Linked DNA regions of Oreochromis niloticus. The protein of the gene in region 2 interacts with the protein of the main gene of each other region in a pairwise test. Links are inferred from orthologs where the notes say so. Each region holds a gene or a part of one and is shown on either strand. Other genes may lie near its edges. The genes, in order: lrrc45, kxd1, exoc7 and mob1a.

Region 1 (7,049 bases), on a different chromosome or scaffold from region 2:
TCACAGTGGGCTATAGCTACAAGAGTGCACGCACTGGGGTTTCCTACTGGTGGTGCAAGTGCTGGGAGGATCAGAAGTCCCATATTCAGACAGGTTGTAGACTTCTGATCGCTTCTCTGGGAGAAATGTTTCCTGAATTCAAAACTTTGGAGGTGAATGGCCGACCTGTGGTGTCTGCAGTTTGGGATTGCGAGGTTACCTGCCGGCCTTTCTCCTCCTTCAGTGTTTGAATCTCCTTGCTGAGGACCTGGGTCCGGCTGCGGCTCTCCCTCAGGGTGGACCGCCTGTCTGAGTTGTGCCCTGTGGCCTGCTCTGAAAGGTAAAGATGGCTCTCAGCGTAACCATGTTATAGTAATGCTAACAAAGCCATACTGCTAGCGTTACGACCTCTGGTAGGACTTACCGAGAGCTTTCAGCGTGTCACTGGGTATGTTGTTCCCAGCCATCTCCAGCTGCACTATGCTCTTGTTGTTTTGAAGTGCCTCCAGCATGGACCTGCCTCCCAGCAGACCAATATTGTTCCACCTGAGATCTGAGTAAGTAATGTAAGAGGAGTTAGCATGGACCATCTGCTGATGACAACAGCAGGCTCTGCAGCTTAAACTTATGATGCTGCCATACGACGGAGGCTGCTCTTAAAAGCTGTTCTCTACCAAACAATACGGTACATGACGTTAACCAGTTAGTGTCACCTAGAACTTCCAGTGTGCTGTTGCGTTTGAGTGCCAGAGCGAGCTCCGATGCTCCATGGTGGTTGATTTGATTGTTGCGCAGGTCCAGCTGCGTCAGCACGCAGTTGGAAGCTAAACCGCTGCAGAAGAGCGAGAAAGCTTCGTCCCACACGCCCAACGCATTCCACTCCAGCACCAGCCTGCAAAAACCAAACACTGCCAGTTAATTAGGCACACTCTTCAGTACTCAGACTATGTGCTGACAGATTCCTTCAATGATCAGAAATGCATGATAAGACTGTGCATTTGGTCACGTTTCTGCTGTCTCTCTGACGGGTTTATTTTGTTTTCAGTATCATGACCTCCAAATTCCAGGAGCAGGACAGACAGAATAGTTCAATGACTATATATGATGTCCCACACTACAGGCTGTCTGTTCTTACTTTCATGTCATGTGTCTTTCATGTGTTTGAAAATTGCCACAAATGCAATATTTTTGTTCACATCTTGGTTGTTTGATTGAAACTCATTTGTGGTGAAATACAAAGTGTCAGAGTGTTTCTCACCAAAAACAGAAGTGACTACAGCGGTTTTTGTGTGGTCAACTCAACTACTAAATATTCTGTGTGATCACTAAAGTGTCTGTCTGTCTCTACACACAGCCTGCGGGCTTTCGCAGGTCTCCTGCTGTTAAAAGACAGCTTACGATCTGTTGTTGTGAACCGGTACTATACAACTATTAACAGCCATAAGGGAAAGGAATGAAATGGTTCACAGACACAAAGAGCATGAGTCTCACCTGTGCAGCGTCTTGTTTTGTGCCAAGAACTGTCCCAGCACCTCGGCTCCTGATGATCTGAGGTTATTCCCCTGTGAACAATAAAAACACAACCTAAGGACACACAGATATTGTGCAATAAAATAAAACTAGTGTCACCGTGTGTGGAGAGTCTAATTTGGGAGGCGGTACCTTTAGATCCAGGACTTTGACAGTTGTGTTGTCAAACAGTCCACTGAGGAGCACTCTGGCACCTGAGAGTCACACACAGCACAGTGACTAACACACACACACAGAATTTAATCCTGCACTCAGCATCCTGAGTCACAATATTTACCAGAGCAGCAAATGTGGTTTATTATGCTAATGAGAAAAAAGATCTATATGAATGTTTTCTATTTCTCTGTTTGTTTGTTGCATTTAAAAAAGACTGTTTGCATTTATCCTTCTAATTCAAGCAGCGCAAACTCTGTAAATGTGAAGATCTGTTCAGGATCAGAACCAAAGGACTTTTTGTTGACAGCATCTGTGTGATATGTAGCCTAACACACTCATTCTGATAGTTTTATTATTTAACCATCAGACTGATTAAAGTACATTACATAGACGTGCCGCAGCAGTGTGACTCGGGCAGGGCCACATCACTGCATCATTCACATTATTGAGGACCATACACTTGCACATACTGTATAATTCTCCACATTACATAAAGACTGTCCTTACGCACCTTCCTCGCTGAGCATGCAGTCACTGAGTGACACCTCAGTAAAGACAGTATCCTTATGGAAGGCCTTAGCCAGCACTGAGCAGGTATCTGCAGACAGGCTCAGTCCACTCAGGTCCAGTCTGGAGCCCTGAGCAGACCTGCTCTCCTGGAGCTGAGCTACAACACCCTCCTGAGGCTCCACGCCTCCCTCCTTACACAGACGGAGGTATATCCGCCTGAAATCCTCCATTCAGGCTCTGCAGACTCCTGATCATCTAAAGAGCAGAGCTTTCTGTCCTCAGACCAACTGGTGAAAAGAAGGAGAGACCAAAGTTCTTACTGCTGCTATCTATACATGTGCTGTTGATTTTCCTGGCATCAAAGATAAATGCATTAATAAATAACAAAAACGCCGAGGGATACTTTTTTTCTTTTGCTAAATTTAAGAAATAATTGATGATCACACGACACTGAATCAACTTTAACCACTGTAGCGACCAGCCTACACAACTGTGTGGATTTAAAGCGTACTGACGTGTATTTTACATGGTAGCTTGTAACAGTCAGACCCACGCTGAACAGCCAGTTTTGAATGAAAGTGACGCGAGGAGCTATCTCCACGCGAGTCAGAGGCTCGCGCGGGACAATCAAATCTTAAACCGATGATCCAAGTAAGGAGGGGTTCAAACCGGGTTTCTTGAGTAGCGATCAAAATAATAATTACAGGTTAAGATAAAAACACAGACCTCCACCAAAACTGTCTTCCTGACAGTTATTGTTGTTGTAGCTCGACCAGCTGACAGAAAAAGGAAACCAGGGCACAGAGTAACTAGGAAGTGTTTGACGCAAAGCATTTTGGTCAACGTAGTTTCGAAAAAATAAGTCTCTATTTATCTATCTGCTTGTTCGTTTTTATCAGGCCTAATCTGTGTGAGGATGAGCTAAGACTGGCTATAATACTGTTTAAACTGATCGTCAAAAACAGAAGGTTATTAAGCATCGTATTGTTTAATGATGTTATTCATGCAGAAGTAAGACGGAGTTTTTGCTCAACCAGCAGGTGGCAGTAAAGACAACAGCGGGTCGCATAGTTGCAACTGGGGGTAAAAGAAGAAGATGGACATTAGCCAAAGAAAAGAGAAACAAGCATGGCTGGGAACGTCAGTAACACCGTCCCTGCGATAACTAGTTCTTTGTCACAGCTACAGGCTTTAAACGGATTGTTTGCGATATATAAAAAACAAGGACCGACCTCCGCAGACGTGTTAAATGTACTCAAGGAAGCTTTGCTCAAGGGTAACGGGACCAAACAGCAGCAGGACGTTCAGCCTGGTGTTTGTGAAAAGCTGACCGTAAATCGTTTGTGTCGCTTTTTCTTTCAGAAGCGGGAGTCAAAAATCCAAACCCGCGGAAGAGGAAGAATCAGAGCCTGAAGATGGGACACGGAGGGACGCTGGACAGCGCTGCCAGCGGGGTGCTGGGTAAGCGGCTAGGCTAGCGTTCACGTCCCGGTGCTGGGCCACGTGCGACTGTTGTCATTCCTGCCCTGGGAGGAGGGAAGGGGGGGGCAAGTGAAGAATTCATTCAAATTTTCTTCAGTGGTGTTTTGGGCCTTTAGTGTTTCTGAGTGGCCCGTGCTTTCTAGCTTTTTAAGAATGGACTACATTGGTAATTTGCTCTCCCTCTGATGGCTGTATTTTGTGTTTGTGCTTTTAGCTCAATGATGGCCTCCTTCAATTGCAGCCTCATATTGACAGTTTCGCTGAACAACTGCCAAATGCAAGTTGTTGTCATTGAATAACGATGTTATAGGACTCGATTTTCCTGATAACTTATGAGCCCAACTGTAGTTCTTATCTTTATTAAAGTGTTTTATAAAGCACCTATGCAGCTAAAAGTGCAGAAGCCTGGTTGATTGACTCCAATTAGCAGAGGTGAGGCCTACCAGACAACCCTGCTGATTGTGCTGGTACGTCTGTCAAAGTGGCCACACCCATAATTTTAGGAAAAATTAATTCAATGTGGTCGAATTAAACCCACAGTCACCATTAAAGGGAAAAGTGGGTAAAGAGACCAAACTGGTCTTTTGAAAGGCAGTGAAAATGCTTTTATTGCTGTTTAGTTGAGAATTTTAACATTGGAGTCAGAGCTAACCTGAAGTGTCTTTGGTGTGTTTCCATGACGAAAGGAACCGTGTGCACCAAGAAATACAAGCAAAAGACGTTAAACGAGTTCAAATATGAGATTTGATGCTCCAGCTGCTGTGTCTTTGTGAGGTGCACGTTTCCCACAGTGTGACATGGCTTTGATTGTAAGACGGCTCTTAACCAGCATGGCTGCTACAACATCCTGCAGCACGATGCCATGTTGTCTGGTTTGAGCTCAGCAGCACAGGGACACGAGAGCACGCCTCCACCTCGTCCTTATACATAAGAAAAGCTGTTCAGTCAGGTTACAGCGGAGTGATGTTGGCTCAGTCTGAGTGAAAAGCAGCTGCTTCACTGCTGCTTGGAAAGTCCCAGGTGATGATGTCATGAAGAAGAAAGGTTGTTAACAACTGTTAACAAAGCACAAAGATGAACACTTAATATAAATGTTTCAGTATATTCTGAGTTTGTGAACTGTGATTAGATTAATGAATTAAAAGTGAGTTCAGTGAACATTTCAACCTGTAAGGGGCGCTAGCAGGACTTTAATCATTGGACTCTCTTTGTTTCAGTTGTTGGTGTTGGGAACGGCACCAAAATGCTCAGCACAATGTTGACTGGGTCAAAGGTCAGTTTGTTTCACTGCTGTTTGAACTAAACTGTTTCTCTGTGCATTAAACCATGACGTCTGGTGAAAAGTGAGAGGCACCGTGCATTAATGCAGTTTAGAGCTGCACTGCTGTGCACTGCTGTGCAGCTCTAAACTGATACCAGCCAACCAGCCAAGCTCTGACTGCTACTCTGACTCTAACATATTTCATTACCTGGATGAAGCCAAACATGTTAGTTTTAACAGATGCACACTGACGTGTTCCAGTACAAATAAAACAACGTGTGTCCTTTAGTTAGTGTCACAGTGAAGTCAGTTTCCCCCATGAACTTCTAGCATTGTGTTGATACGTGCTGATTGGTTTGTGCCTGCTTTCATGGTAGCAGATCTAACAAGTACTAATGAGCTGTTAGAAACCACAACACAAACCTCTGTGTATGTGTAGAAGAAGCACTTTTTTAGGTACAAGTATACATGCAAATATATATTGATAAGGACATTCTGTAGTGTGTATACAATACAGTTCCTCAACAGACTCGAACGTCTCGTTTACATTAGATGTCTGGAATGACAAATGCATGAATGCTTCCTTTAACTTGTTAACTGTGGATGAACTGGGTGTTTCTTTTAAGGGGAAACACAAATGTGACACATGTTGTGTGTTTCTCAGAAATATATTGCCGTTGGAGAGTTTGGAAAAGCAACAGACACTCTTGATGCCACCGGCAGCGTGACTCTGGAGAAAGGTTTTGGTAAATCCATTCATTTGATCTTTCAGATCCCTCGACACAGCAGGATAATCTGCTTTTGCAAACTTCTGTTTCTGCTCTACCGTCTGTCTCTCAGTGAGTTATGTCTTCATATATTTTCCTCTCCAGAACACATAACCAGGTTGGACGTTGAGGAAAAGCTGAAAGCTTTCACTGGTGACATCATGCAAGTGCCTCCGCTGTGAGTACGGCTTCCGGGAGTCAACATCCACGTCTGAAGCATTAATTAGATCAAACGAAACGTTTTTTTCTTGAGATGAAATCTTCTTTTGCATAAATCAAAACCTAAAACTTTTCAGAGCAGCAGCTCAGGACTTCACGTCCTCTGTTACTGTGCTTGTTTGGGATGGTGTTAGATTTGATGGTAGATGTATAAACGTCGGGTTCATGTGAGTTTCCTCTTTGGGGGTTGCAGGCAGTGAGTAGCTCCGTGGTGCAGTGGTTACATGCTTACCTAACATGAAGGTGCATGAATTGAGGCACGACGAGAGCTTTGGACGGTTCATCTTCGAGGTGAATTCCCAGCTTTATCACAGACTCTTCCAGGAATGTGACAGGTTGGCTGATGCAGCAGGAAAATTCAAATCAGGGAACCACAAAATGACTTTGATTGTTAAAATAGGCTGCATATCCATTTGTGGAGAAACCATTTCCATTTTCTGAGGAACATTAGCCGTGTCATCATTTTGAGTCTACACAAGCAAAGATGAGAAGTAGAATCAGAATCAGGGTTTTATTGCCAAATGTTGAGCAGGTTTGCAACATTAGGAAATTGCTGCCGTACTTAGTGCAAAACATACTGTAAGACAACACTTACAAAAACATAAAAATTAAAATTAAAAGTGCTGAGCAGATTCATATATACATGTGCGCAGGTGATGATCAGTGCAAAAATGGAACAGATGCAGTGAACACAGTGTAGGGTCACATGTTAGTGGTGGGAACAGTCATATGGTTGTTGTTCATGAGTCCAACAGCAGAGGGGAGGAAACTGTTCTTATGGCGAGAGGTTCTGGTGCGAATGGACCGGAGCCTCCTGCCTGAGGGGAGCAGGTCAAACAGACTGAGTCCAGGGTGAGAGGGGTCAGCTGTGATCCGAGCTGCACGCCCCAGTGTCCTGGAGGTGTACAGGTCCTGCAGAGATGGGAGTCTGCAGCCAATCACCTTCTCAGCGCACAACACGCTGCAGTAGACACCAGAGGCTTCAATAAGTGGCTGAACTGAAACCAGTTTTCTTTGAATGTGCAGCCAGTTTGATGGCATGTTACAGGTTAATGATATGATCAAAGAGCCGTAATGACTAATTGTTGTAAAGGCTAAGAAATGATGTGTGGGCTCACTGAGGGTGTAGTGTGGACCCAGTTCCT
Region 2 (7,695 bases):
ACTCATGAAGGTGCTGATAAACATACTTCCTGGTTTTATAGGAAATAAATTATATAGGGTTAACAGGAGACTGTTGAATAACAATGCTGCAACAAGTGCAATCAACATTTGCAAAAACTAACTACCAATATTCAGAGTGAGATTAGATTTTGTATCTGTTATTTATGTTGACATGATGAGAACTTCTTCGTACAGACAGGCTTTTGCTCAGGTCTACTGTATAGTTATACACATACAGATATACAGTGGTGTATTATACAAGTTCAAGTATTTTCTGCATTATTGTGGTGCTATGCAGGCACGACACAATTATGTATGGCAAAAAAAGCATCTTTCTCATTGACAGTGCAAAGCCACCTCAAAACATCAAACAAATAAATGACCGCAAACATTACAGTGGCAAGTGCACATGCAATTATACAACAAGTCTTCCTGAAAGAAAAAAAAAAAAAAAGTTTAAAGTGACCCATTAACTGTTCGCTATTCTGCGGGGACTGAGTCAGGACCCTCATCCTGCAGGACAGCTGTCTCTAGGAAGTCAGAGGTGGGCGTGTCAGGTGGCTCCTGAGAGAGCTCTTCAGAGCATCTGCTCACAGTGGGCGAGATCACATCTGGACTTGTGTCACATGACTCTGTGCTCTGCTCTGAGGTGGCTGTTGTAGTAGTTGTGGCAATGCTTGGGGGAACTGGGTCAAATTCATCGTCATCTTCCTCAGAGATGGGCGACTCATGGATGTCTGTCAGGAAAAATACATTGTTTAAAAAATTCAATTTACAGTGCCGTGAAAACGTATTTGATTTCTCCCTGATTTCTTAGGTATTTGCATATTTGTTACACATGTTTAAGATCATTAAGCAAATTTTAATATTAGACCAAGATAATCCGACTAAGTACAAAATGCATGTCTAAACCTACCTGGTCCTGTGTGAATAAATCATCGCCCTCTAAACCTGATAAACGTATAAACTGTCACCCTTGGCTGCAAGACCTGCAGTCAAGTGTTTGTGATAACTGTCAATGAGTCTTTGACATTGATGTGGAGAAATTTTGGTCCTCTTCTTTGCAGATTTGTTTTAATTCAGCCACATTAGAGTTTTTGGACATGATCAGCCTGTTTAAAGTCATGCTTAAGCATCTCAGTTGGATTTAAGTCCAAACTTTGACTTGACTACTTCAAAACCTTTTGTTTTTTTTAGCCATTCAGTGGTGAACTTGCTATGATGTCCTTTTTAAGAAATGCTCTGTTAGTTTTACACCAAATAAAAAGGGACTGCAACCTTTTAAGTTCAACTTTAGTCTCGTCAATCCTCAGATTATTTTCTTGATGTAAATATTTTTGTGAGAGGAGATGATTTGGTGTTTTCTTTTGGGTCAGCAGTGGTTTTTGCCTTGGAACTCTCCCATAGATGCCAGTTTTCTCTAGTCTCTTTCTTATTATTGATTCATAAACACTGACTATAACTGATCTCAAATGTTGTCCTGGGGCCTTCTGTGATCTCCTGAAAGAGTCGTTGATTTACTCTCAAGTAATTTTGGTAGGCCACCCTCTCCTGGGAAGGTTCACCATTGTTCCAAGTTTTCTCCATTTGCGGATTTTGGTTCTCTTTGTGGTTCGCAGGACTTGCAAAGCCTTAGAAATGGTTTGGTAACCCTTTTCATAATGAAATATCAGTCAACTGTGTTTCTCAGCTGTTTCTTTACATTGTGGCACGAGCTGTCTCTTTTTGAGATCTTTTAGCTTACCTCACTTTGTCAGGTTTAGTAATTTACTGATTCAACAATTCCAGCAGTAATCAGGCCACTAGTGTGGCTAATGAAAGTGAACTTAATCACAGTTAATTAAAGTTTCAAGGGGTGGGGAGGGGGTTATTAAATATCCACATAGAGCCAGGTTAGATCGGATGGCCTTTTCCCCCCATAATAAATGAAAAACTGCATTTTGTATTTATTCTGATTATATTTGTGTAATATTACCATTTACTTGATAATCTGAAACATGGAAAAAAAAAAAGAAATCAAGTTGTGATGAATAGAAAGAAAACAACAACTCACTGCTGAAAGCTTCTGGATACTGCTTAGCTATCTTTCCTTTTAGTGTCCTGGAGAGGCAGAGAAAGCCTGTGATTAAAGGTGTATTTTTTGTTTTTGCATGTTTGCATGGTAGGAGTAGTAGACACTAACCTGATCCTTCTAAAGATGCTGTCCAGATCTTTCTTCATCTCTACAAGGGTGCGAGTGTGGAGCAGGAAACGCTCATTCATCTGCTGCAGGCGTACGTTAGACAGCCCATTAAAGTTGATCAGCATTTCATTGGTTTTCTCAAAGCGGTCGAGCCTGTTTTCACAACAGTTAACCAGAGAAACAGAAATCTTAATCTGAGACACATATGATCAACCCCAAACAGCAGACAGAGTTTATATTTCATGGCAGGAAGCACCACTGGGCTCAGTCTGGCACTCACATGTGTCTCTGAGCCTGGATGATGGCGTTAACATCCTCAGAGTTGACCATGCTCAGCATCCGATTGCAGAACACGTCAGATGCCGTGTGCTCCACCATGATGACGAGCAAGCCGAAAACTGCAATTGGAAACATTTACTCACAACTGCATGAGCCAAAATATCCAGAAATGTAAACACAGGCATTTAATCAACGAGAAAGAAAGAAGCTAGAATTGTGAACACTAATTAAATCAGAGGCAGTCAACTCCAGCTGTGAATTATTTATTCACCGCATGCTGTGCCGGTGTTTGACTGCCCTCCAGCTCCCTGTTAGCACCCCAAACCAACCACCGCAGGATTAGTACGCTAGCTACCGAGCCGTAATAATAATAAATGCAACTACAAAGTTTACATTACTTACCTGAGCTCGGACGATGGCTATCTGTAGAGTTTCGACGACTACGCAGCAGATTAAGACTACATTTGACAGCTGGCTGTGAGACAAAAACAACCCACTTCCATATGTTTTTCAAGTTCCTGTCACGAGACCACCGCTTCCGGTCTACGGGTTTGTTTTTTTTGCTTGTCTGTTTTCGTTTTTGTTTTTTCATTAATTTCGTTAATATGCAATTTATATTCACTTATATATTTTTCATTGAATTAAAAATGAAATTGAGATGTTTAATTCTACTGAGCCACGTCATTGTGTTTTATTTTGTTTTTACGTGCCATTCTTTCTCAATTTTATTTGTTTTTTCCCTACTGAGCTAATGTAATTCTACCCAATTTCTTCTGTTTAACTGAGATCATTTTTGACTTTAGTGAAATGTTTTCTTTTGTCATTATAATGTTATTTTATTGAGCTGTTGTGCTTTATTTAAGCTACTTTCTTACAGAGTGTGTTTTGTTTCGGTCGCTGCAGAAGTAATTGCATAATTATTTGCAAGTCATGGACGGAAATTTCAGTGACAATGAAACACACGACATATTTTTCTCGCCCGGTGACAGCTAGGATAGGCTCCAGCACAACTATGATCCTGAATTGGAAAAGCGCGAAAAAATGGATGCATGCATGGAATATATTTCGAGTGTATATGACCGTGTTTGTTTAAGTGAACTTGAAGAGCAGCAACATGAATAGCCTTATGTACATTTGAACTCCTATGTTTCTCTCTCTTAAAAAAAATTAAAAAAAAAAATAGTGTAATCTATACTCACCGGCCACTTCATTAGGAACACGTTGTTACCGGGTTAGACCACTTTCGCCTTCAGAACTGCTTTTGCTTCAGAACTGCTTCTTTGTGGCATAGATTCAGCAAGGTGCTTGAATCAATTCTGAGATATTTTGGTTCATATTGACATTATGGCATCACACAATTTCTGCAGATTTGCCAGCTGCAGATCCATGATGTGAATCTCCTGTTCCACCACATCCTAAAAATGTACTGGATCGTGATCTGGTGCATGTGGAGGTCATTTGAGTACAATGAACTCTTTGTCATACTCAAGAAACCAGTTTAAGATTGAGTGTTGTGGCTTGGTTTTGTGACATATCCTGTGGAAATCAGCCATTAGATGTGTACACTGTGGTCATAAAGCAATTGACATGATCGGCAACAATACCCGCGAAGGCTGTGGTATTTAAACAATGCTCAGGTGGTGCTAAATGGCTCAAAGTGTGTTAAGGAAATAGTCACCACAACACCAGCAGCCTGAATCTTTCATACAAGGCAGAATGGGTTCATGCTGTTTATGCCAAATTCTAACCTTACCATTCTCCACCATTACCACTGGAGCAGAACTAGAGCAACATTTTTCAAACTTTTTACTGTCAAGTTTTGGTGAGCCTCTGCAAACAGGCTGTTCTCAGCTAACAGGAGTGGCACGCGTTGAGGTCTTCTGCTGCTGTGGCCCATCTGCTTTGGTGGTCAACATGTTATGCGCTCAGAGATGCTCTACTGCATACTTTAATAGTAACGATGAGTGGTTATTTGAGTCACTGTTGCCTTCCTATCAGCTCAATCAGTCTGACATTTTCACTCACTGGCTATTCTCTTTTTAAGATCATTATCTGTAAACCCTAGAGATGTTTGTGCGGGAAAATCCCAGCAGATCAGCAGGGTCTGAAATATTCACACGGATACATCACATGGTGGAAAACATGCTACATTTGCAATCTGGCTTGCTGATTAGAGATTTGCCTCAAACAGTTAGACAGGTGTATATGTATAATGTAATTATGACATCCACGCTCATATTTAGAAGGTAGCGTCCCTCTTTCCCTCCCTTTCCGGCTTACACCAATAAATTCAGTCACTCCATACATCCAGAAAGCTCACAAAATTAATTTTTATTAAGGGACAAGTAAAAAAAAGTACATGATGTATAAAAAATACAAAACCATTTTGTCTAACTTCTAACTTGTAAGTTAAGTAAATGCATAGCAACAATACATGCAAGTCTAGAGTTATGTATCCTACTATTGTATCCTACTATTCTGTGACATTTTTAAGCTACAAGGTAAAAAGGGAGAAGTACAGTTTGGTTGCAATCTATCAGCTGTTTCAGTCTACAAGTGATGATACAGAATAAGTTAGGTTGCACGCAACTCAACCGATGAGCAAATAAATATTTAACAACATTTCACAAATATTGACAACCAGTAATTGAACGCAATGTTAACCAAAGCCTGCGTGAGAATAACATTCGACTTCTGATGAATAAAACCATACTACGAGTAAGCTAAAGATGAAAAGAATTCACTTCTCTAAGTAGGAATACAAATAAATATGAAATAAATAAATAATGAAACCTATATAAAGAGCCATATGACTCATCCAACCCCTTATGTACATAACACAGCCGCTGCTCCTAACTACAACATCACATGTATGAAATTTCATATTAGTGTTATTTTTAAAACATACATATAAATGACCTCGGACAAGCACAAGTGTCCATAGAAAACCTGCATTGATTTGACATTGGGTGAATTTCAATGTGCTTTGGCTTTCATTTGATAAATAAAGTAATATTAGGCAATATATCACAACACATTTGTGGTATATAAGAGGCAATGGCATAGAATTTTAGCTTGTATAAAGTCTTTTACCATATACTGACCCGGGAATGATGGAAATCACTGATATTGATATTGCTAAAATGACTGATAGACCGATTTTTGTGTTTTGCTGTTGTATTGTGTGGTATTATTATGCAAAGACACTTTTATTTGTTTTTTTTTTTTTACATATAAAAATAAGTTAAAACTTCAGAAAAATGGATCCAAAAAAATAAAAGTAAGATTTACAATTTCTTATAAGGCCATGCAATTTTTAGAAGACTCATGCACCAGATCAGTCGGTCTTTTGGATGAGTGGGCTTGCCATTCATGCAAAAATGCACTGTGTGTGTTGCTGAGGCCACAATAAATATTTGTACTGTCCCTTTTTGTTCCTTAATACCAATCCAGATTTAACACTAGCGCTGTCTGTAACACATAATTAAGGCTGGTGTATTTGCTGTTGAAGCTGTGAATAGGCCTTATTCAAATGGGACCCATACGTATTTACACACAGAAACGCTAATCCAGTCTAAAAACCACAAACTCTTTGTTAGGAGTGGATGTTGTCGTGAGCAGACAGAAAAACAGAGGGTTACTGTACAGGTCTGTGCTCCGTCAGTGTAAAGTGTCATTCATTCCAAAACGGGAGATATCCACCATTTAAAAAAAACAAACAAAAAACCCAGATATCAACTCTGAACAAAGAAACCAAAATTAATTAACCTCATTATATTAGTCATCTTAACATATATGCTTATAAAACATCTTCACTGAGATGGGTTCAGCTGTGTGTTTGTGAGCTTTAAGTAGCACCTTTATTTCTGTAAATAAGTGGATGTATTGCGTTTTGGAATAAAATCTGATAAAAATGTACCAGCAAAGTGGAGCTCCAGCATTTCAAAGTAGATCAATTACACCGAGTATGATGGTCCATCGTCGGGATGGCAAAAATATTAAATACAAAGTAAAGACAGACAACGGAGAAACACAACAGTCCATAAGTTATCATTTAAATGCAATCAACAATCCTCATTATGGAGAAAGGATTTTTCAGCTGCTTTGTAACTGAAGGCAATCTGAGGCAACTTTTTTCTTTAAGTGCTTGAGAGAAAAAAAAAAACAGCACCTCAAGATTTCTTCAGAGATGTGTGTGTGTGTGTGTGTGTGTGTGTGTGTGTGTGTGTGGGGGGGTGACTTTACCACCCTTCCTCTCCCACCACCTCACTCCTGACTGGTGGAGATGCAACCTGCAGCTGAGCAGACTCTGCACTTTCACCACAAGTTGCCATCTCCTTCACTTCCTCTCCCATCTGGGATTTTTCCACACGCACCCGACCCTCCTCTGCCTCCACCTCTTCTTCCTCGTCCTCGTCGTCCTCCTCCTCTTCCGCCTCCTCCTGCTGCTGTTGTTGCTTCTGCTGCTGTTGTTGTTGTTGTTTGTTGCGGCAGCACGGTTTGAACAGGTGGGGGTCGATGAGCACCTCCCCGAAGCGCCCCTTGTAGATTATTCCACAGCACACCTTTTGCCTGCACAGAGCATGAAATGAGACAGAAACCATTATGGCTCTGTGTGTTTACTCTGTTGACAGCATTGCATTAAAATGCATTCAGTGTTTAATCTGGGTTGTCCTGGATTAGCATGACACTTCATGTGGTAAAGGTAGTACTGAGTATTTGACACAAATGAATGCATTTTCCTGTTGTTTCTCTGTTTGACAAAGAAAAAAGATGCGCATTAGGCTTAAAAGATGAAACATCAGGCACCACAAAAAATCCTCTAAGAAAAACTAAATTTTAAAAAATGTATTGAAAAACAAGTCAAAAATCAAAAGTCAGTTATTAAATCTATTTAAAAAAGGCAACATTTTAGTTTTTTTTTAATTAAATATATTTTTATGCTTTGATAGATTACTGGTCTCAAGCAAGTTTCAAAATCTCTACAAACTTTGCCAATAAAACATTACAGATTGTCTGGAAGGTAAAAGTAAACTCAAATCCTAAATACATTTATAACAAACCTGGAAAATTGTCAATAAAAACAAATGCAATTAGTAGTCAATGACCCAAAACGAACAAACAAAAATTATTAAGTAACAGTTAGTAGTATTAAGCTAAATACATAAAGAAATCCCTGTAATGTCACTGTAATCCGGCAGGTGGAAACACCTGTCAGGGTGGGGCATCGGTGG
Region 3 (7,474 bases), on a different chromosome or scaffold from region 2:
ACAGATAATCCTTACACATCATTTTATAGAGCTAGTCTCAATCATAAATAATAATTTGTATTCTATGCAATTATAAATTATTCATTTCTAGTAAAATTGTAAAGAAATTTCATCAACTTTTGTTTATCGGCGGTTTGGTGGCAACCTCCACCTTACTCATCCCATCACCGAAACGCTCTGCCGTGAAACTAGAGGTTAAAATCTCCACTGGATCACCTACTACACCATCAACAGGACAAATAAACCTCTGCTGTCTCAGCTGCTAATAAAACGACGCAAACCCTCATGCTGTCTCTGATTTGCCGTGAAATGTGGCATCTGACGGACAGAAGCAAGCACGAGGCACACGCTAGAGCTTTGTGTTTACCTGGGATGTAGACTGTCATCACAACACAGGGATTATGAAAGAGGAGAGGATGAAGGATTAGTTAGAGCAGGGTGTAATATCACAGAGAAACACAGTGTGTGGTAGAAGTGCGCTACAGCTCGGTGAACTGAGTGATTACAGAGAGGTTGTGGAGGATAACCTGAGACAGAAACAGACTGTGGATGTAGTGACGAGTGTATTTAATATCCGTCACTATGCAGGATCATGCGTGTTTGTTAGGCTGATCTATGGAAGACGGGATTGGACAGCGAGTTGATTACAGACTGAAGTGGCGTGATTGTGGATTCGGTCTGAATGAGGCACATCTGTTGCTGACCTGGTCTCTTCGGGGCCTTTTTAGTTGGCGTGTCCTTGCGCTTGGTTTGGACGGCAGGCGAGTAGAGGACACCGGAGGAGGCGCTGTTCTTGCGGAAATGCTCCTTGAGGCCTTTGATGGAGCGATCGAGCTGGTTGGACCGGATCTGGAAGTAGACGTTCATGAAGTCTGCAGGAAGAGGAGAGCAAAATTAGACACAATCTTTCCAGTTTCTCTACACCGCCTGCACATTTCAAAGCCAATTTAATCATTTACATCATCCCAGCTCTGGTGGTAAGATGATTTTTAGATTGTAAGGTAGAGGACCTCCAATATTAGAGAGAAAAGCCCAACGATCAGATGATTTTTGCAAATGTGGTAAAGAACTTCCTTTAAATAGGAAGAGACCTCCAACAAACAAACACAGCCGTACCCTGATTACGTCCGTATTCCACCAGCCAGCCGGCGATGCAGATGATGTCCTGGAGCACGGCCTCGGGCAGGTGTTCCAGCACCACCTCCTCCTGGACCTCCAGCTCCTCATCCACGCTGATGGCGTCCAGGATGAGGATGGGGGGAACGGGTTTGCTGTAGCGGGTCAGGAGGCTGCGGAATTCGCCCTCCAGCAGCTCCTTCCCCTTTTCAAAGCGTGCTTTCTGCAGAAGAAGATACGGTCATGAAATTAGTGACTACGACTCGGAACGGCACAGAGACTGAAGCAGACGTCTGCAGTGAGGAAAAAGTGCATGAAATTTACACATAAATGAATGTAGGAATAACAGCACGATTCACACAGAGAGCTATGCTGTGTATAATGTTGTTCAGTCAGTAAATACGGGGAACTGTTGGCTTCATGTGCCTCAGATAGCTTTTTATCTTTCAGACACAGGTGGCTAAAAAAAATATTTTCACCGTAGTACTGTGAGAACCACGACACACCATACACACATTGTATTTATCAGAGGCTCGTTTTATGTATTTTGCTAGAAAAACACAAGAGCACAGAAAGCAGGACAACATTAAGATTCTGGTACAGTCTTCCCAACATCCTCACCTCAATCCTATTATTTTCCCACCCTGGGAAAATAACATTTCAAAGAAATTAATAAAAGCCCAAACTTTCCAGGACATTCACACCTATGATGAGTGGATTGTAAAATTTTTACCACAACTGTAATTTCAGAGAGGCAGATATTTTACCACTGTGTTGAGCTCAGGGCTGTCTGGGTTGTTGTCTTGAAAGTATTCGACAGCTTTCTGAATTCTTGCAATGCAAGCAAGATACTCGTCCAGTCTGCCTGTAGGTCTGAGACAAAAAAGAAAATTAGTATACATGTCGGAGTTTGTGTAACCACAAAACATTTGCATACGAAGGTCATCCCCACCCCTCTCTGATGATCCTGTCCGTGTCTTTGGCCACATGGTAGTAGCTGATGACGTGATCCATGCAGGACAGAGTTTTGTCCACGTTCTCCTGCAGCCGTTGCAGGTTTTCCGTCTGCTTGTGAACCGGGATGATGGAGTTCTCCAGCTGCATCAGGCGGCTCTCGAATGAAGACAGGATGGAGACCTTTTGGGAAAGAAATACAGGTGAAAAACCAGTTGGGCTATAAAAGCAGCTTTAATATAGCGCCTTAAATAATGAGTCCCAGCTGAAGTGGGGTGAAAGCTGAAAAATGACACCACAGGCTGCTTTCATCGACTCACTAAATCTATAGAAACTATAAGTAGATATTTCAATCCAAGTACAAGAATAATAATTATTTTTAATAATGGGTCAAAGTACTGTCGAATGGAGATCAGTCCGCCGCCTTTAATTATGAGAATTATGAGTGTCAGCCTGAGCTGTCCCTGGGTGTGTTTGGACCGTCCTACCATGTTTTTGGTCAGCTGATCGCTCTTTTCCAGGTTCTCCCGGATGAACGACAGCGTCTCCTGCTCCTGTAACAGCAGAAAGAAAACCAACCACTCGCTCATTTCACTCTGAAGACATTAAAGACACTCCTTCGGTCAATAAGCATCATTTTAAACTCGGGTATTGAGCCACATTGGTGGGTTGTAGCTCGAAGGGAAGCTTCCTTCCTCTCAAGCCTCCAGCTGTCTGACCTGCTTCAGTTTCTCCTCGATCTCCCGCTTCCTGGCGGACGCATCCTCCGTAGGAATCATCCTGGAGGAAATTTAAAGCAAAGGAGTCTCTTCTGCGGCTAAAACGTGACTAAGTTGCCGATTTAGATAATAAAAACAACAACGACACCCCTGAGCCGCTGTCATGGATAGCTAAAAGCGGTGAGGTTAAGCTAGTTTGGTTAGCCGTAACAGGGCAAGGGTTTCCGGTTAGAATTTCAAAATAAAACAGCCATCGGCACTAAATTGAACAGTGAAAAAAATGCTCATCGGTTTTCCCCCCAATCAGTTTGTACTAAATCAGGATTACGTTTAAGTTTATTTAATATCTTATTCTAACTGCAAATGAAAGTAAACACACAATTCTTCTTCAGTTGTCTTTTATTATGGAGCACAGTCATTTTTTTGGGTATAGTCTTCAACTAAAATTGTGAAGCCTTTGTCCCACCCACCTAAAAAGCTTTAGAAATGAATGCATTTACTGTTTGTATGACAATAAAAATGAACAGAGTAAAGCAGTATGAGGTGTACATCCCACAAAAGTGTTAATTTTCTTTTTACATTTTGTAAATTTTTATATCCTTTAATATAAGATTTTTGTCCCCCCATTTATCACAATTGTTGCCCTTTTTGCTAGATAATGTGAGTCACCTTTATTATGGAGGTCAAATACACCGACTTCCGGTAAGGGGTGTTTATCCCGGATATCTTTTTTAAAAACTTTATTTACAAAAGACAAACACAGGTAGTTGTCTAAGAATGTAAATCAGAAGATTTTTAAGTTTAAAGAAAACTTTTCAACACTGACATTTTGTCATTGAGGCACTTTTACACAAACGCCTAAATATTTATGTTATTTGTGAACTGTAATCAAGAGTTCTCAAAGTTTTTGAGAAAAAAAATGTTTGCAATTACATGCAATGACGAGAACCAACAACTAGAGGTCGCTGTTGCACTCAGTACTAAACACATTAAAAGCATGAGAACACAGTCATAACTAATTAGATACATGAATAACAAACCGTGGAATTAGCAGACTAAATGTTTAAACTCAGTTCATTAAGTAATATTTTTATTTTTGAGTCTATAAATTTCTGAAATTAAACAAAAACCTGGAACAGTGTTGGTTAATGGAAACAAATCTTATTTATATTTATTCCTTTTTCTTGAATCTCTTACGGGATTCTTTTTATTCAACACTTTTCTTTTCTTAGAGGCTCCCGCATTATAAAAAGTTGGAACTAATCAGACTCTCCACATAAATAAACACGAGCACCCAGTTCGGAAAAACGTTACAAATGTATTTGCACAAAAGATGACTCTTCACACAGTTTGTTCACTTACATATTTACAAATCTCCTGTTACACTTTACACACTTTCATACAAACCAAAATGTCTGTATGACATCTCTCAAAGGTTCTTTAATTACTGTTAATTTATAAAGTTATTAGAGGCAAACTAACTAAAAGAAGAAATCTGAAGGAGCTGTGAGACTATGACACAAACTACAGTCACTCCGACGCGTCAGCTGTTTTACACTCATGCAGTTCTCGGTAATCAGAGGATTTATTGCTGGACCTCAGGTAGTGAAAACCCACCTCTGACCTCTGTGTGGAAGATAAAGACAACTCTACTGAGTCATTTAAAGAAAGCACACAATCAAAAACTGCCCTTTTTCTGAGAATGCTTTCCTGCCCGTGTCCACTGAGAAAAAGAAGGTTTATATATCAGAGCATTGAGAATAATGCAGATGTGTTAACGCCGCAGAGCTGCACTCTACGATTCCTCTTCCTTAGACAGCGTCTGAGGAGGAAAAACACAAAAGACTTCTTAGAAACAGGACAAATACTTTTAAATTAAAAGACTTTTTATTGTGTGTTTTATTTAAAACTCACCTGTTTGAGGAACTGTCGTCCGAAATAATTGGTAGCCATGTTCTTTAAGCTGGTCTTCCCTCCCACTTTGCACCTCACGTATCCGTACAGGTTGGCGCCTTGCAGCACAACGCCCATGATCACGACGGGCTGTGAGAAAGAAGAAAATTTTTCTGAAATAAACCCTGGTCATATTTCATATTCCCCTTATTAAATCCCACGAAAAGGCTAAAGGTGAACCTCTTCACTGCCATCAGTGTCTAATAGTGTCTGTTTCTATCATGATTCCTTGTTAAGATTTTGATCTTTGTTTTCATTTTTTAAAAGTTACGACTTCTAACCTTACTGGGACCTTACTGCATCAGGTCATGTGCACCTCAAACGAGCATATAGCCTCCTGGGAAAACACTGGGTGCATGTCCGACACATCATCTCATAAAGCTTCAAATCACATTGTGAGCATTTCAGACATGGAGCATTCAGGCTGAAGGAGTCCACTGTGTTCCTGTGTCTGACTCCCAAACAACAATCTCGAGGGATAAAACCTGTAGTTTAAAACTGCCCTCTACAGACAGTTTCTTCTTTCTTAGGTGATGTTTTAGGTAACGTAGCTGCTAACCATCTGCTAGCCTAAACAAAAACACTGAGGCTTCAAACTGTGAAACCCAAAACCACAGGACGGCTATGCCCATCTTTTATATACAGTTTACATGCAAATAAAAGTCCCCCCTCATGCAGCAGGAAAACTTTGAAAGCAAGCTTGAGATGCAGGGTGAGAGCAAGAAAACACTGGCACACGTTTACCAAGTAATTATTGTCTAATTTTACTTAAGAAAGCACCAAGAACTAATAGGGTTCAGTGGGCTTAGAGCTGAGAGACACAGCCAGGAATGCTAGGTAAGACAGTGCTGTGAGAAAAATTTAATTGGATTTGTTGATAATAAGAAAAACAGCACTTGTCCAGTCACTTAAATCTAACAACTTACCATCCATTTAATCCTGAATGAAAACAGGGTGCTAAAGACAAAGATGACCCAGAGGATGGGGCAAACAATCAGTCCGAGCCAGAATATTCTGGACTCTGAATCTGATGCTTGCTGCTTCCCTGTACCCTGAAGAAGACGGAAACATATCTCAGTTAGGACATGCGAACATGATAAGGCCTACTGACTGTAAACATCTGGGCGGTGCAACCCGATACAGAGCAAGAGGTCAAGGTCACGTTTAGCTAAAGCTCCAAGTCAGAGCCAGAGCAGATTCAGCAGAGATGCATCTCACCTTCCTCGACTCAAACACCCAGTGGCTTCGTCCATCGTCATCAACCTGATTCCACCACCGCAGACCAACCATCAACCTCCCAGTGATGTTCTGCAGATGGAGAGATTTATGGCTTCATTATGGAGACTCTGGCAAATCTTATTCACATGGTGCTGGATCCGAACACTGTTTCCTAGGTTTAATTATTTAGTCTTTGTGTAACAGTGTGACTCTGGAAACTGAGTCCAGTTCCACATCTGCCTTACAGAGTGCAACCAGAGATATTATCCAAGGAGATTCTACAGGAGATTTAGGAAAGCCTTAAAGAAAAAAAAAAATGGCACTCAATGAGCCAATCGATCGCCCAAACAGAAAAAACATTAACCCTGTACATGTACGCACTAAAGGGTCACAACAGCTTCAGCTGTGTGGTAAAAGGCACCACGTACCTGATAGTGCAGTAAAGATGTCACGATGTCAGATCTTTTATCAGATCTAACTGCTGATTTTCTACGTGCAGTTTTTCTTTTCCAGTAAAAGCTAAAATGCTGCTTTCAGCTGTTGCTTTGCCCCAAGGCGTCACCACAGCGAGTAGCTCAGCATGCTTGATTTGGCAGTTTCCCACCATGTGATTTCCATTCAACCCCAAAAAGGATTTGCATCTCCAGCTGGAATCGTACCAGCAACCTGCCAAGTGAGTTTGCTAACCACTCCACCAGTGACCACTGAAATTAATCCCATAGCTCTCGTTCATTTCTGTTGATAAGGGATTCAAATTGATTCCAAGATGGCAGTTTTGTTGTGAGATTTGCTTTTAGAAGGACCAGTTTATGTGGACTTGTTGTTCACTACCATGAGGCTATTTAAACTGATTCAACATGAACATCACCAGCACACAATAACAGTGCCACAAGAACCAGTGAACGACAAACATCCAGAAACCAGATGTTTTTAAATCTCACTGTAGGCAGTGAAGCTACAGTGATTAAATAAAGAGCACGTTACAAATGTCAGGCTGGCCTGTAAACTCTGCTTCACTTCATCATGATTATGACTGGATGTTTGCAGTACCGGCTGTTGCATATCCCGTCTCCAAGGCTCCGAACTGTCTGTCAATAAACACGACGGTTGGATCTATGACCAAACTTTTCACCATGTTTTTCTCACGACTGCTCATCATCTCATCCCAGCACCGACAATTCATTCAAAACTAATAATATATAACCCAAAGGTGAAAACAGTTGGCAAGCTTTTAGGACGACTTCCAATCTTGCTTTTAAGCTCCTGATTAATTTTTTTTATCTCATCTGGTCCACTCTTCCTCTGAGTTCTGGCTTTAAGAAATCCAAAAAAAAAAAGCAAAAAAGCCCCACCAAGATATTTAATTATAATCAATACAACATCCCTACAGTGGTGATATTAAAGTGATAAGAGACACACCTTTACTGTCCAGAAGTCACATGAGAGCAGAAGGATTATTGTGACCATGCAGGCGATGAAGCTCCCACCGATGAGCTCAGCGAGCAGGTACACGA
Region 4 (7,241 bases), on a different chromosome or scaffold from region 2:
GGGAAATGCAGAAGTTTCGTAGTCTTGATGGCGGCTATGTCAACAGGAAGTGAACCCCCCTCGTCTCTTCCTCCTGATTAGAGACTGAGCGCAGAAAGTCTTGGCAGGACAGAGGATAGGGGAAGAGTCTAACTAAACAGCTTCTACAGGGTCCACGTGCAAGATTTAATTCCCGTGTTCCTCATGTGACATTCAGATGACTGATTTGAAGCTGATTTAACTTAACCACCTGCACCACTAAAAATGTGATCTGGGAATCTGATTCTGCAGTTAACTCAGGAGATCAGATCTTAACAGCTGGACCAAGTCTCTTATATAAAAGAAAGCCATTTTTATCTCAGTGAGACGTCCTGGTAAAATAACAGCTAATAAATAGATAAAGTGTAATTGTGGAGCTGATAAAACAGAGGAAGTGGGCCGCATGAAATGAGTCAGCTGAATTTAGCTTTATCTGATACACAGTGCAAAACAGATTTAGCTTTTTGTTTTTCTTTGTCTTTTTTTGTTGGGGAGTTGAGTTAAATCCTCAACAAAAACATCATGTTTGGGTATCAAACACTAAAAAATGTTTTTCCCATAGCTCAATAATAACCCAAGTCTTAAAAGTCAAAAATTCACTTCTGTTAAATGTAAAAATATATAAATAATCTCAAGTACAGTCAAAGGCCAAAATAAGATAGATATGAAATTTAAACTAATGCATAAAAATGTGCCTTTGCTCTGCCTCTGAGTTTTGCTGGCCCGTGCTACAGAGTCATGTGTTAAATGAAGCATTCAAGCAAAGAATTTGTGTCGAGAATTTTTTATAATTGAATTACTTGATTAATCACTGCAGCCCTAGTCTAAGTGTTGTATATACCTTTGAAAGTGGGCCATTGTGTATATCAGTAACCACACCGATAGATAAAGCATCTAAACACCCGTGTTTTTCCTGATGTTTCACAACGTGTCTTCAGTTAAATATGCCCTAGTGGAAATACTTTTACTCTAAATTAAGAGCACAAACATGAGGACAATGATTGGCGTTACCTTGGTCCTGCAGACATCACGGAGCAGCTCGTCTCGGTGCAGAACTCGGTGATGGTACCGTACAGCATGTTGATCTGGTTGAAGAAATCCACCGCTAAAGGAAAGAGTAAATTCTTATTTGTTTTATCCAGAATTTATGCATGTTATTGTGATGAAAGAACTGGGAGATTATAATATGTATTTTAGTATCTACACTCACAGTTTAATAGATTTAAAAGCACAAAATGCTCATAAGCCATATATTTAAACATACCATGTTTTATTAGAGATAACATATAAAACATGTAATTCTACAATACCTGCTTAATGCAACAACCAGTTATTTACCAGTCTGCCAGCTGTGTGCACTCTTCTATGACCCTATTACTCTTTTTACACCACAGGGTGGTGCAAATGTGCAGCACCTGTACAGAACTATTTTATTTATGATTCATGTTAACACTGGGCACAGGTACAAACTTTAACTGGTTAGTTGGATACTGTGTGTGCAGGGTCATTGTACTGAGTCACTCACTATTCACTGCAATCCATTCATTGAGATCCTCTCCCTCTGGCAGCATGACAGCCTGTCTCAGGTTTCCGCTACCCAGCGTTGCCTCTGCGTGTTTCAGCAGCTCATACTGGTGGGAGCCCTCTGGGATGTTCTTCTTCGGCTTGAAGGTCTTAGATGAGCGACTACCACTGGACAGAATTTAAAGTGGATCTAAGAAATATTGTCTTCATGGTGGTCATGTGGTACAGGCCATATCTGTCTGCCCCCCCCACGGGGTTAACATTTACCCTTGAAAGGTTGACAATGTAATTTTTACACCTTAAACATCTGATAAACATACTGTTAACTGGACATGTTGATCCCTGCATGACTGACTTTCATGTGTTTTCCTTCCTCTTTTATTTTTTTCTTTATAAGGTCATTTGCAGTAAGATTGTCGAATCAAATGTGTAACAGGACAGAGAGCTGAACACAGTAAAGACTGAACTTGTGATAGTGAACTACATAAACAACAGACTTTTATCTAAAGTGTCGTTTTTAAAAGGCTAATTTTAGAGTAGATCCTCTTCCTGGGCCTTGATCTACACACGGGAGGACTCCTGTTCATGTGTGCACTCAGCAGATGCAAGCTTGGTGGTGGACATCTATAAACTTCACGCTGAACTCGTGATGGGTGACCGCTGCAGCGTTTGCCATCAAACCAAAAAACTTTGGCTTCCACAGCGTCAGAGCCGTGACTCAACCACATTATAGTGTATACCCACTGACAGGAAATGCACCAGTGTCACAGTATTACTGTAAACAACGGAAACTTAATTAGCGGCGTTACTTAACATTTTATAACCACCCAGCGAGATTAGACCTCCAAAGGTGTGGGATATGACTAAAAATTGAATGTCTAGCCTCACTTAAGTCAGTTAAAGAGTGACCATATGAGCTAAGCTGGCTAACCAAACGCGAGTTAGCGCTGCTCACCAGGCTAGCAAAGTTAGCACGTACTAACTCACTACTTTAAAAAGTTACAGTTCGTGAGTTGTGGCAAACTGTAAATCAACAGTTTCTCGATCATGTTACAATCATCAGTGGTAGCTCTGCGTAAGGAAGGCGTCACTTTAACGCAACTTAAACCTATACTAAGACTGGGATGCGGTTAGCTGACTACTTTATGTAGCGGTGTCTTATTTTATCGCCCCTTACTTCCCTTGACTGAACTTCGTAGAAGCGCAGCTAACATTAACCGCAAGCTCCGGCTGTAACTTCACGAGCGCTTAAAAAAAGAAGAAAAAAACACTTTACTTACAACAGGAAGCTCATCTTGGCGCAGGAATCGTTAAAGTTCCTGGATTTGAACTCTTGAAGCTAGTTTAGTAAACAGAAACGCGTTTTAGGAGTACACTGTGCGAGGCACTTGTCAGGGGTGCCTGCTAACAGCAACAGTGAAGGCTAACATGAACTGCACCCACAGAGCCTCTTCCTCTGTCTGCTGTCTGCTGCAGCGCAAATGGTAGTCTGTCGCCCCCTTCAGTCTGCCTGTAGGTATTACTACGTACATTTTCCAAGCTCAAGACCTTTCTGTTATAAAACTGTTACTTTCTCATGTGTCATCCTGGAGCACTGTGACATACTGTGACACTGTAATACTGTGACATAGAACAATCCCCTTAAATTCTTTATGAACTTTTGATCATTTAATATGAGGACAGTGTGACAACAGTGAGCTGTCTGGTAGGTGCTACGGATGAGGTCAAAGTCAGGGTGGGATTATATTCAGTATCGGCTTTGAGCCCCTTCTTGTTTGCAGTGGTGATGGACAAGGTGACAGATGAGGTCAGGCAGGAGTCTCCGTGGCAATGATGTTTACATATGGCACTGTGATCTGTAGCGAGAGTAAGGACCAGGCGGATGAGAGCCTGGAGAGGTGGAGGTCTGCTCTTGAGAGAAGAGGAATGAAAGTCAGAGGAAGCAAGACAGAATATATGTGTGTGAATGAGAGGGAGACAGGTGCATTGAAGATGTAAGGAGTAGAGGTAGTGAAGGTGCATAAGTTTAAAAACCTGGGGTCAACCATCCAAAGAAACAGAAAGTGTACAAGAGAGGCAAAGATGAGAGTGCAGGCAGGGTGGAGTGGATGGAGACGAGTGGTGGGTGATCTGTGATACAATGATAACAGCAAGAGGGAAAGAGAAGGTTTACACTGAAACCTGCTATGAAATATGATTTGGAGATGGTGGCCATGAAAGGTGACTGAGGTGGAGGTGGTAGAGATGAAGATGTTAAGATTTTCTTTGGGAGTGAGCAAGACAAACAAGATTAGAAATGAGTAAATCAGAGGGACGGCTCAGGTTTGAAGACAAAGTTAGAGAGGTGGGGCTGAGAGAGACACTGGATGCTGAATATGAAGCTGTCAGACAGGAGGAAAAGAGGACGACCTCAGAGAAGGTTCATGGATGTAGTGAAGGAGGACATGAAAAGGGCTAGTGTGATAGAGGTGGATCCCAGGGACAGGGTGAGATGGAGATTTTAAATCAAACAATGGATATACGATCTAAGTGCAGACTGTCAGCTTAAATCTTTCTCATTTTCAGTTAAATAATAAGCTATTTCATTGCCAGGTGATGCCTGTTCCCTCATTATAGCAAAACTAATTATGCCGATAAAAGATCTGGAGTAAAAGGTCTGAAGCGTTGAATTTGCATTTGGAATTCGCAATATGAGGCAAAAAAGACACATTAGTGCAGGTGAAGGCATCGTTAGTTTGGAAACACAAATCTATCTGAGAGGTATCAATATATACATATATCTTTGGACATATAAAACAAGATGAACTTGTACCTGAAAGATGGAGAAGAGAAGAGAGAGACAGCATATGATCCGAAGCATACAACATTATCTGTCAGAGAACCTACTTTCACTCATATTCATTCATATACCCGCCCTGCATGTGCTCTCCAGATAAGGAAGTACAGTACATCTCGGTACTCTCCAAGCTCTAAGCTAAGCTGTTAGCTTGTGGTTCCACCAAAGAGCGAGAACAAACAGTGGCAAACAGAGAACAGATCAATGTGTTTCAAAAGGTTCAGTCAGGTATTACATTTTTCCACAAAACCTCCAGCAGACATGGGGTTAACTCCAAAGAATCCACTGCCTTAGTACTGTTTTTCCTTTAAGTGCCCACAGTTTGACATGAACATGAATACAGATAAGACCTACATTTAATCAAGTGCTCAACTAAAATACAATTCTTGTGTATCTGTACATAACTGAGTATTTAAACGTTGAAAGAAAATCTGCTTTAATACATCCAATAGATAAATGTGCCATGTAGTTGTTTTTTATTAGGGTTTAAGAAAAAACAGTTTTAAAGGATATTAAAGCTGCCAATAGGGAATAAAGTAATTACAATGGTTCAACTTGACCAAGAAAGCCATGATAATCATTTAGTAATCTAATAGTAGCAATCCAGTTTCAGCGTTGCTTTTAGTTTTCTTATTATAATGTGGGTGTTAAGAGTTAGAAGCAAGATTTATAATATTATAATACAAACACAACACCTCATTTGATACAGACATGATGTGAATTTACACCAAAGCCTCATTAAGCTGTCTGGGTGTTTCAAATCTGACCACACTGCCAAAAAGTAAGAATGTTTTCTGTTTATTTTTTATTTCAGTCAGTCTTGTAAGTACAAATTATTGTTTCCGATTTCTTCTCTCATTTTTATTTTTATTTTGGTTAATGAACGAGTCCATGAACAAACGTATGAAAAGTGACACAGACAACAAAAAAGTCATGAGAAAAATGAAAGTCGGTCAACCCGATGAGTGCAAAGCGTCCTGTGGCTGCAGAACAAGCCCAAATCAACACCCCTCCACCACCGTGCCTAACAGCTGCTATGAGGTGTTAGGTTTATGACAAACACGGTGCTGTGCATTATGATCTCCTTTTTGGTCTTGTCTGTCCACAGGACATTGTTCCAGAGGTCTTGTGGTTTGGTTCAGATTCTTTTTAGGAAGAAGAGGCTTTCTCCTGGCAACTCTTTCAAACTACATTTATAGTATGAACAACAACTCCATAGTGCCTTGTTGCCTGTAGCCTTTAGTCAGAGTCCTCAGATGTTTCCTCTTCTTTGTGCACCTCAGAAGTTGAACCAGAAACCTCAAGCCTGTTTCCACAAGGATAGAGGGAAAAACAAGCCATGATTGTTACTCTTTTACTAACTGTACTGTAATGACCTTTAACATTTAACATGCCAACTGAGGCCTGTGGAGTCTGTGATGGGGTTCTTGGGGTTTTTTTTACACTGTCTCTGAGCATTACAGGGTGTGACCTTGGCGTGAACTGCTGTGAAAACTGCAAAAAGTTCTGTGAAAATCCAAAACAATTAAGTTAGTTTTGCAAATATATAATATGCTTAAGTTTTTATTTAATGAATTAGCTTTTATTTCAGTTGATTCAAATGTTTTACCACACCTATACTTGGTTTCAGTGTTGTTTTAGTTAGCTATGATGATCCTGGTTGTTTGAACGTGGAAACTGTACGTGAAAAATAACTTTAAAGCTCTAAAAACAACAACAACTCTGACTCTATATTGAAAGAATAACGGCCTGGTACCGCTCATGAGCTTCCACGCTGGGCTGCTGTGAAGGGGCAGAGCTCTGCAGCAGAGGGCTGGCGACTGATAGCAGTGACGTAGGCAGCTTCCACGAGCGGGGGGGAGGTGTTTAAAACCGCTCTGCTCCTCTTCCTCCTTCACAGCCTCCCTCCGTCAGACCCGGGGTTTCGTAACCGGCGCTGTAGCAGTGTCTCCTCTTCTGTGAGCCGGTGAGAAATGGCAGCGCTCAGGACTCTCAGGAAACTGTGCCAGCACACACAGCACCAAGTCTGTAAACTGCACACGTCCGCCTCGAGGTGAGTCTCCTCCGCACATCTGCTGCGGCTTTAACGGTCATTTTACGACCTCTGAGGCGCTTCTGTTTCCTCACTCGGTAGGAGTGTTTGGTTCTTTTTTAGTTTCCCCACCCCCCGTGTGCCCTCTTATTTGTAGGCTTTTATGTACGCGGATGAAGTCGCTGGGTTTTATTCTGCTGGCTTTTATTGTTTTATTGTACTAAACGTCCTCAGTTGAGCACATTTCGCAGCGCCCCTAGCGTCACGCCGGTAATATTGCAGGTGTAGATGAGGGGTGGGGGGGCTGGCTGATGAAATCTGTGTGACTGCTTGCACCCAGTGGCAGGTTTCAGGTGGAGTTCGAGGTGTAGGTGTGCACACCTGGGGCAAAATGAACATGCAGGGTATATCTGATCACGTGGTCTGTAAAACCTGATATAACAAGCTGAGAGTAATGCTACAGCAGCTAGTCAGCAGCCTGTTAAGCGTTTGCATCGTGCAGGTATTTATTGGAAACTTGCTGAGTGCAGTATGACTACATGCAATTAACTAATCTTTCACACACACAAAAAAACTACTCTTAAATCTCGTGGGTCCTGCGCATGATCTGCGTGATTTGCAAAGACACAAGGCTGATAATTTAGGACATATGCATGTGTGATTATCTTACATCACTGCTTGCCAAATTAGATCTGGTGGGATCACGTTACCTCAAGTTAATTTCATTTATATATGTGAGGAAAATTTCTGCAAACTCAGCTGCGAGAAGGACTAGTGCTGTGTTATCATGTGCAGAGTAAACAATAACAAAAGATAAATATTGTGAACATG

What was found.
Region 1: the proteins of kxd1 (region 2) and lrrc45 interact in binary tests that used the Homo sapiens proteins (3 or more experiments, as listed by UniProt). The two-hybrid records come from large-scale screens. The link is inferred for Oreochromis niloticus from reciprocal best matches to the Homo sapiens genes KXD1 and LRRC45.
Region 3: the proteins of kxd1 (region 2) and exoc7 interact in binary tests that used the Homo sapiens proteins (3 or more experiments, as listed by UniProt). The two-hybrid records come from large-scale screens. The link is inferred for Oreochromis niloticus from reciprocal best matches to the Homo sapiens genes KXD1 and EXOC7.
Region 4: the proteins of kxd1 (region 2) and mob1a interact in binary tests that used the Homo sapiens proteins (3 or more experiments, as listed by UniProt). The two-hybrid records come from large-scale screens. The link is inferred for Oreochromis niloticus from reciprocal best matches to the Homo sapiens genes KXD1 and MOB1A.

Annotation. Positions count from the first base shown.
Region 1 is NC_031973.2:28,377,719-28,384,767, reverse strand, and holds the start of lrrc45 (leucine-rich repeat-containing protein 45), read right to left. Parts: upstream 3,022-7,049; 5' UTR 2,902-3,021; intron 2,830-2,901; exon of another isoform or gene 2,691-2,829; intron 2,463-2,690; 5' UTR 2,406-2,462; coding exon 2,177-2,405; intron 1,704-2,176; coding exon 1,642-1,703; intron 1,542-1,641; coding exon 1,471-1,541; intron 872-1,470; coding exon 693-871; intron 533-692; coding exon 404-532; intron 313-403; coding exon 200-312; intron 1-199. Other genes in the region: pseudouridylate synthase TRUB1, read left to right, coding at 3,304-3,451, 3,538-3,636, 4,875-4,930, 5,583-5,664, 5,791-5,863. UniProt on the Homo sapiens protein: Component of the proteinaceous fiber-like linker between two centrioles, required for centrosome cohesion.
Region 2 is NC_031972.2:56,468,859-56,476,553, reverse strand, and holds the start of kxd1 (kxDL motif-containing protein 1), read right to left. Parts: upstream 3,023-7,695; 5' UTR 2,864-3,022; intron 2,581-2,863; 5' UTR 2,561-2,580; coding exon 2,463-2,560; intron 2,336-2,462; coding exon 2,183-2,335; intron 2,101-2,182; coding exon 2,054-2,100; intron 738-2,053; coding exon 481-737; 3' UTR 1-480. Other genes in the region: sinhcaf (SIN3-HDAC complex-associated factor), read right to left, coding at 6,703-7,033.
Region 3 is NC_031973.2:3,946,452-3,953,925, forward strand, and holds the start of exoc7 (exocyst complex component 7), read right to left. Parts: upstream 3,020-7,474; 5' UTR 2,850-3,019; coding exon 2,790-2,849; intron 2,625-2,789; coding exon 2,559-2,624; intron 2,254-2,558; coding exon 2,069-2,253; intron 1,990-2,068; coding exon 1,884-1,989; intron 1,340-1,883; coding exon 1,117-1,339; intron 873-1,116; coding exon 705-872; intron 380-704; coding exon 368-379; intron 1-367. Other genes in the region: tvp23b (Golgi apparatus membrane protein TVP23 homolog B), read right to left, coding at 4,585-4,611, 4,704-4,832, 5,669-5,794, 5,961-6,050, 7,380-7,474. UniProt on the Homo sapiens protein: Component of the exocyst complex involved in the docking of exocytic vesicles with fusion sites on the plasma membrane.
Region 4 is NC_031977.2:19,147,169-19,154,409, forward strand, and holds the start of mob1a (MOB kinase activator 1A), read right to left. Parts: upstream 3,019-7,241; 5' UTR 2,837-3,018; coding exon 2,823-2,836; intron 1,711-2,822; coding exon 1,544-1,710; intron 1,124-1,543; coding exon 1,030-1,123; intron 1-1,029. Other genes in the region: mthfd2 (bifunctional methylenetetrahydrofolate dehydrogenase/cyclohydrolase, mitochondrial), read left to right, coding at 6,352-6,431. UniProt on the Homo sapiens protein: Activator of LATS1/2 in the Hippo signaling pathway which plays a pivotal role in organ size control and tumor suppression by restricting proliferation and promoting apoptosis.